Oryctolagus cuniculus: one gene and its partner. The protein of the gene in region 2 interacts with the protein of the main gene of each other region in a biochemical or structural test. Links are inferred from orthologs where the notes say so. Each region holds a gene or a part of one and is shown on either strand. Other genes may lie near its edges.

The links.
Region 1: the proteins of RNF14 (region 2) and UBE2E2 form a complex in vitro, tested with the Homo sapiens proteins (2 studies listed by BioGRID). The link is inferred for Oryctolagus cuniculus from reciprocal best matches to the Homo sapiens genes RNF14 and UBE2E2.

The regions. Positions count from the first base shown.
Region 1 is NC_091435.1:159,442,123-159,445,939, reverse strand, and holds part of UBE2E2 (ubiquitin-conjugating enzyme E2 E2), read right to left. Parts: intron 1,940-3,817; coding exon 1,792-1,939; intron 1-1,791.
Region 2 is NC_091437.1:29,524,364-29,528,180, reverse strand, and holds part of RNF14 (E3 ubiquitin-protein ligase RNF14), read right to left. Parts: intron 2,521-3,817; exon of another isoform or gene 2,482-2,520; coding exon of another isoform or gene 2,410-2,481; intron 1,614-2,409; coding exon 1,086-1,613; intron 1-1,085. UniProt on the Homo sapiens protein: E3 ubiquitin-protein ligase that plays a key role in the RNF14-RNF25 translation quality control pathway, a pathway that takes place when a ribosome has stalled during translation, and which promotes ubiquitination and degradation of translation factors on stalled ribosomes.

The DNA of each region.
Region 1 (3,817 bases), on a different chromosome or scaffold from region 2:
ATTTCTTCAAGTTTACAAACCAGCCAGAAGCTTGAGATCAAAATTCACACTGAACATGGAAGATGGAATTTCATTCAATAATAAGACAGTAAAGTAAATATTTAAATAAGAATGGCCTCACTAAGGACATCAATGAAAATGTTATAGCTAATTTACTTTCTAAAATAACCCAAAATATGTAAAATGTTGGCAGCTGGTTTGTCATTCAGTCAAAAAGAAACTAGTCAAATACAGACATGCACAGAGAAATTAAGAACTTCCAATGTGAAGTACACCACAAATTCTTTGGTTTTTCTGAGAAGCTGTATTTCCTTGTTTACTTTTTGGGTATTTTCTAGTTCAAGAACATCCAGGTTTTTTTGTTCTAATAGGTTCTCAGGATGCATGGTTATTAAGATACCAAAAAGGTTACATCTGTATGGCGCTGCCTGGTTGTTATCAGATTTTAATAGCCCACATTTCTCAAATTAACATCTTCTAGTAGGCATCCAATTAAAGATTAAGCTATTCCTGACTTGCCCCAAACGGTAGAGTTAGAAACATACCAGGGGATTCCAATTCAATCCCATCAAGGTGGTATGTACCAATGCCATCTCACTAGTCCAAGTGATCAATTTCTGTTCACAATTGATCATAATGATAGGACTAAGAGCTAAAGGGATCACATAAACAAGGCTAGTGTGTTCTAATACTAACTGATAGAATAAAAAAGGGAGAGAACAATCCAACATGGGAAGCGAGATACACAGCAGACTCATAGAATGGCAGATGTCCTAAACAGCGCTCTGGCCTCAGAATCAGCCCTTAAGGCATGCGGATCCGGCTGAAAAGCCAATGAGAGTATTTCAGGCATGGAAAACCAAGACACTCTGGCAAAAAAAAAACCAAAAAACAAAAAACAAAAAAAACAAAAAAAAAACAAAAAAAAAAAACAAAAAAAAAAACCTAAATGAAAGATCTCCGCGAGTGAGATCCCAGTGGAAAGAACAGGTCATCAAAGAAGGAGATACCTTTCTCTGAAGGGAGGAGAGAACTTCCACTCTGACTACGACCTTGTCTAAATATGATCAGAGTCAGTGACTCAAAAGGCTTCCATAGCCTTGGCAACTCATGACAAGAGCCTAGGGTGATTACTGACCCCATAAACAAGAGTGTCAATTTGTAAAGTCAACAGCAGGAGTCACTGTGCACTTACTACTCATGTAGGATCTCTGTCCTTAATGTGCTGTACATTGTGATTTAAAGCTATAACTAGTACTCAAACAGTATTTTTCACTTTGTGTTTCCATGTGGGTGCAAACTGTTGAAATCTTTACTTAATGTATGCTAAACTGATCTTCTGTATATAAAGAGAATTGAAAATGAATCTTGATGTGAATGGAAGGGGAGAGGGAGCGGGAGAGGGGAGGGTTGTGGGTGGGAGGGAAGTTATGGGGGGGGGAGCCATTGTAATCCATAAGCTGTACTTTGGAAATTTATATTCATGAAATAAAAGTTAAAAAAATTAAGCTATTCAATTTGAATTTTTTTTTTATTATTTGGCAGGAGAATTTAGAGCATTCTTAAATGTACTTTCCCATCTAAAATGATTTTTCATTAATTATCATCACACTGTGATTTTTCATTTTTGGCAAAAAACAGATCCTAAAAAGACTACTGAAAAGGCTCAATTTAAAAAGAAAATAGCTGCATACTTTGGAAATCAAAAATCGACAATAGTATTGTAGTAAAGTAAGCAAGTTCCTGAGGTCTGACGTCGGTGTCTTAGAAAGCGCTAACTTAGTCTCTCACCAGGGTTGCAGTCTGTGAGCAGGGAGCAGATGGAGAGGAGGACTTTGGAGATGGTCAGGGCTGGACTCCAGTTGTCCTTCAGGATGTCCAGACAGATCACGCCTTGGCTGTTGATGTTACAGTGATAGATTCTTGTTCGGAACGTAACCTACAATTGTAGAACAAGTAAAGTTGTTAGGAGCAGTTTGTTGTTGTTGCTGTTTTTTTTTTTTTTTTTTTTTTAATATCAGGTAAACTATTACAGGTACTAGTTAAAATACACTTGGTTTTCCCTTAGGCACAGGAGAATAAATCAATAGACAAAAGTAATAAATTTAGAACTTATCATTTTGGCCACAGAGAATGAAATGTCAACAGGAAAAGTTTGTCATTCTGCTTCGCATAAGGAGAGCTATTTCGTTAAGCCTCTGCCTGCAGCACTGGCTCTAATCCAGGCTTCTCCTTTCCCCATCCAGCTCTCTGCTAATGGCATGGGAAAGCAGAGAGGATGTCCCAAGTGCTAAGGCCCCTGCATCCATGTGGGAGACCCAAAAGTTCCCAACTCCTGGCTTCAGATTGGCCCAGCTCTGGTCATTGTGGCCATTTGGGGAGTGAATCAGTAGATGGAAGATCTCTGTCTCTCCCTCTCTCTGTGTGTAACTCTACCTTTCCAAAAAAAAAAAAAAAAAGAAAAGAAAAGAAAAGGAGTGCGATTATTTAACAAATGTCCTGGGCATGAAATTTGCTCTTGATGCAGTTATGGGAGTGTTTCTGAGGCGAACAATGATGCTATCCTCTGAAAAGTTTCAAAGAACATCTTTGCTGGATTCCAGTTGTCTGGAAAACTTTGCCCATTTAAAAATAAACATGAAAAAGCATGTGAACACTTACAAGAAGAAAATATCATGCCATCACATGGTTTTAAAATGTGCTACATAGAACAAGTATGTAAATAATCTGCCTCTTGGGGCTGGCGCCATGGCGGAGTGGGTTAAAGCCCTGGCCTGAAGCACCAGCATCCCATATGGGTGCCGGTTCAAGTCCCACCTGCTCTTCTTCTGATCCAGCTCTCTGCTATGGCCTGGGACAGCAGTAGAAGATACCCCAAGTCCTTGAACCCCTAAACCCACGTGGGAGACCCAGAAGAAGCTCCTGGTTCCTGGCTTTGGATCGGCGCAGCTCCAGCCGTTGCCACCATCTGGGGAGTGAACCAGGAAGACCTCTCTCTGCCTCTACCTCTCTCTGTAACTTTGTCTTTCAAATAAATAAAATAAATCTTTAAAAAATATAATCTGCCTCTTTTTTAGCAGTATATTAGTTATTAACTGTACTGGTTACAACATACCATATTAGTTATACTTTATAAACTGTTCCCTTCTTAAATTTTTTTTTTTAGATTTATTTATTTATTTGAAAGGCAAAATTACAGAGAGGCAGAAGCAGAGACCCACAGAGAGAGGTCTTCCACCCTCTGGTTCACTCCCCAAATGGCTGCAACAGCCGGAGCTGGACTGATCCGAAGCTGGAAGCCAGGAACCTCCTCTGAGCCTCCGACACAGGTGCAGGGGCCAAGGACTCAAATCGGCGTCCACACAGGATGTGGGCACTGCACGCAATTGCTTTATCCATTACACCACAGCGCGGCACACATCTGAAGTTCTTTCTTAAAAACTTACTTCAGATGGAGAGAGACGGAGAGAAAGAGCGAGCCAGAGAGTGGACATACTCCCATCTGCTGGTTTACTCCCCAGGTGGCCACAACAGCTGGGGATGGGCTAGACTGAAGCTGGGAGCCAGAAACTGAATCCTGTGTGGGCGGCAGGGACCCAACCGCTTAATAAAATGGAAGTTTGGGTTCTGATGTCCTCATGGAGAAAGAAGATGAAATCTTTGGCCTGGATGAAGCAAGGAGTTGGAACTGAGGGCCCTTGTAAGAATTAGGACCCTGGAGTAGCTAGTCTTTGAGAAAACATGAACTTGAAAAGGCATGCCTTAAGGGAGAACGAGCAAGGAAACTGGCCAGAGAAAGCCTCAGCTCTGGACTGAG
Region 2 (3,817 bases):
AGACAGAACTAGAGCTAGAGAAAGCATTTCTATCTGCTGGTTCACTTACCCAGTGATCACAAAGGCTGTGAAGGGGGAGAGGGAAGGAAAGGCAGGAGACGGAATCTCAACACCCAGGTCTCTAACATAAGTGGTAGGAATCCAACTAGCTGAGTCATCACCCTTGACTCCCAGAGTCTGTATTAGCAGGAAGCTGGGACTAGGAGCAAGAACCAGGTATCAAACCCAGCCACGCTGATGTGAGACACAGGTGTCCTAGCTGGAAGCTTAACTGCTAGGTCAAACGCCCACTCCAAACGGTACAATTTAAATAGGTACAGTGTGTTGTAAGTGTTGCCTTAACAAAGAGGCAACAACAGTGGAAAACCAAAGGCTGTACTTAATCTAAGGTCTATAAATGATTCAGTTCATCATTCCAAGGAATGTCCCCTTCAGATTTCAACCTTACACAAAGAAAGGCTAATGACTTCCCTGAGGTTGGAGGGACCCTCGCAGACAAAGTAAATCAACAGAATTCCCTGGTAATTCCTTTAAAAAAAAAAAAAAAGATATAATTATAAAATTATTTATTTGAAAGGCAGTGAGAGAGAGAGAAAGGAGAAAGAGAAAGCAAGTTCCCATCTGCTGGTTCTCTTCTCAAATACCCATAATACTTGGGGCTAGGACAGATCAAAGTCAGGAGCCAGCAACTCAATCTGGGTCTCCTTCATGGGTGGCAAGGACCCAGGCACTCGAGCCTCCCAGGATGCACATTAGCAGGAAGAGAGAAACACGAGCAGAGCGAGGACTTGACCCCATATATTCCGATATGGGATATGGGCATCCCGAGCTGTGTCTTAACTGCTGTGCCAAGCACCTGCTCCAGGAATTACTTTTTTAGCATTCACCCTTGCCAAGGACTGCCCATTCCCAGAGCAGCTATGGAAGCATTTACATTCACATAAATGAAAGACCACAGCATTCCTCATAGAGCGAAACAACTTGTGGGCTGGCTCCAAGGTCTCTGATTCCCCCACGAACCCTATAAAGGAAGTTCCTTAGGCAGGATCTCCCTTTGCAAAACTCTACATCAGCAAAGCAGTTACCTGACCAGGAGTAGCCACTGAAGGACACTTTGGTTCTGGACAGTTGAGGCACTGAACTTGGCCATCTTTGATCTGGATTTCAAAGTAGTCCTTCAGACACGCTTTGCAGTACACATGCCTGCACTCCAAGAAGTACATGCACTCACTACCCAGCTTCTCACAGAAACAGATACTGCACAGGAACAATTTACTGTTAAAGCATTTTGTCTGCTGAGCTTGATCAAAGTCCAAGATTTCCTGGATCAGACTTGACAGTGATTCCACATCCTGCACAGCTCTCTCATCTACGACTTCCTCTTGGTCTACATCAGATCCGGTAGCTCCTCCAAACTCCAGCTCTTTGGTGGAAGAGGCCTGGGCTGTTCTTCTCTGCACTTTTTTCTGAGATCCCATCTTGAGCTCGAAAGGAGAGACAATATTCAGGTAGGCAAGGGTCTCCTCCTTAAGAAACTGCATCCAGGCAAACAGGACCACACTGCCTCGGTGTTCTTCCCACAGGTTGTCCAGGTGCTTGCACAGAGCGGACAGCTAGGAGAGAAAACACGAGGAAGCTGCTGAGTCTGGAAGATGCTGCTGCTGCCTCTGCCTCCCGACTTCCTTTGAAATCTTTCAACTTCTAAGTGAGGCCTCCCCGCTTCCTGCTGCTGTCTCCACTGCAAAACCAACACAGTCATGGGAGGACTTGGTAACCACTCCCAACACAAGCAAGGGCAGGACACGAAGGCAGAAGCAAGAAACAGCACTGTGAAAACGAGAGAAACCAAGACTCCTTAAGAGAAGAGATCTCGTTCTAAAATGAACTATTCTCCTTCCTTGGGGAGTCCTGGCCCCCATGGGTGCCCTGAAACTGGTTAGCAAAGGACAGTTTTCAAAGACCACCTGTTTTAAAGTTAATTTTAACTTCCAGGCCAATCAAAAAGCCAACTCACCCAAAAGAATCACTAAACAGAATTCAATCTTTCAGATTTACAAGCTACTCTTCACAAAGCAATCTGGGCTTCCATCAGATCCTGGTAAATGGAGGGAAGCAGACTGACATGGACCCTGGACACCATCACAAGCCCTCAATGTGCTTTGGCTGTCAAAGACAAAGCTCACAGTTCCTAAGCTAAGAAAACAAAGGTAAAACTATTTTAACTTTTCCTCTTTAAAGGTGGTCTGTTCAGGGGCCAGCACTGTGGCATAGCAGGTAAAGCCACCTCCTGCTGCGCTGGCATCCCATACAGGTGCCAGTTCCAGCCCCAGCTGCTCCACTTCCGATCCAGCTCTCTGCTATGGCCTGGGAAAGCAGTGGAAGATGGCCCACGTCCTTGGGCCCCTGTACCTGCTTAGGAGACCCAGAACAAACTCCTGGCTCCTGGCTTCGGATCGGCACAGCTCCGACCATTGTGGCCATCTAGGGAGTGAACCAGCAGATGGAAGACCCCTCTCTCTCTCTGCCTTTCAAATAAAAAAAATAAATCTTTAAGAAAAAAAAAAAAAGTGGTCTGTTCAATTGAAAGGCAAATATAAGAGGATTTTCCATTGGGAATTTAAAATATTTGTAAGTTGAGCTCAGGAATTCTAAGCAGATTTTCTTTTTTAGGTAAACATCCAAAAATAAGCATTCCAGATGGCAAACAAATTTTATAAACAAGTGAAAAGGGGCCATATTTTCTGTTCCTGGCTCTGTGTAATGCTGTTGAATGAGCCTGCACATGCGCTAACTTAAATACTTATTGGCAAATTAAAACTGGACAGCAAATGTTTTTTCACATATGCATGAAGATATTTCTAAGGTCAATCATACTTTTGAGAAATCCATCAAAATCTGTTAAACATAATAAATACTAAAAGGGAAGTTCCAAGTGCTGTGTAAGCTGCAGGTCAATGACCAAGCAGCTCCCCTCCATCCTCTCTGCTTCTCTAGTCTTTTCTCAAAAGACCAGCAGGATACATGTAAACGGGAAGAAGGAAGGGTTAACAGCAAGAGAGAAGCTCTGTTGTGTGCGTGCATATTGAGGGGGAACAATGGAAAACACTGGAAAACTAAACCCACTTCCCTCCTTCAGTCAGTCAGCGAATGACTCCTACACATGTCAGTTTCAGTATTAATGGGCAAGATTCCCAATACCATGAAATCAGAGTACAACGATTAACAAGAATTGAAACAAGAAATATTAAGTGATCAATTAAAACCCCAATCATATGCATAAAACTGTCAGAAAATCCTACATGGGACTATAAGACTTAAAATAATGAATACCCTCTGCCACCTCCCCACAAAAGCCAGCATTATGTTGATGCTGGCATCTAAAATTGCAACCACCTACCTAGTTAACCTGTCCCTGTTGTGTGTGTGTGTTTTTGTGTGAGCACGCATGTGTTTGGGTATATGTATGCACATGCATGCATGTAAAATACCAAGTGCTCTCTAGAGAAACAAGATTATAAATATCCAAATATTTACTTATCACCTATCAGTGATCTAAATGTCAAACAGTCTTAATATTTCTGGCCAAGTTAATCATTTGTGTTGCATCTATTATCTGTGGCACAGATATCAGAATGTAAAGTAATATTCTTTTCTTTATTCTTCATGTACTATTCTTTTTTTTAAAGTTTAACTTTGTTTTTAAACCATAAACTCAATTTTTGTAAAGCCATTCTCATCGAAAAGAGCAGACTGATGGGTGGGAAATGAACACCATGCGACCCAAAGGGATGAGCAACCTTGACAGCTTTTTAATACA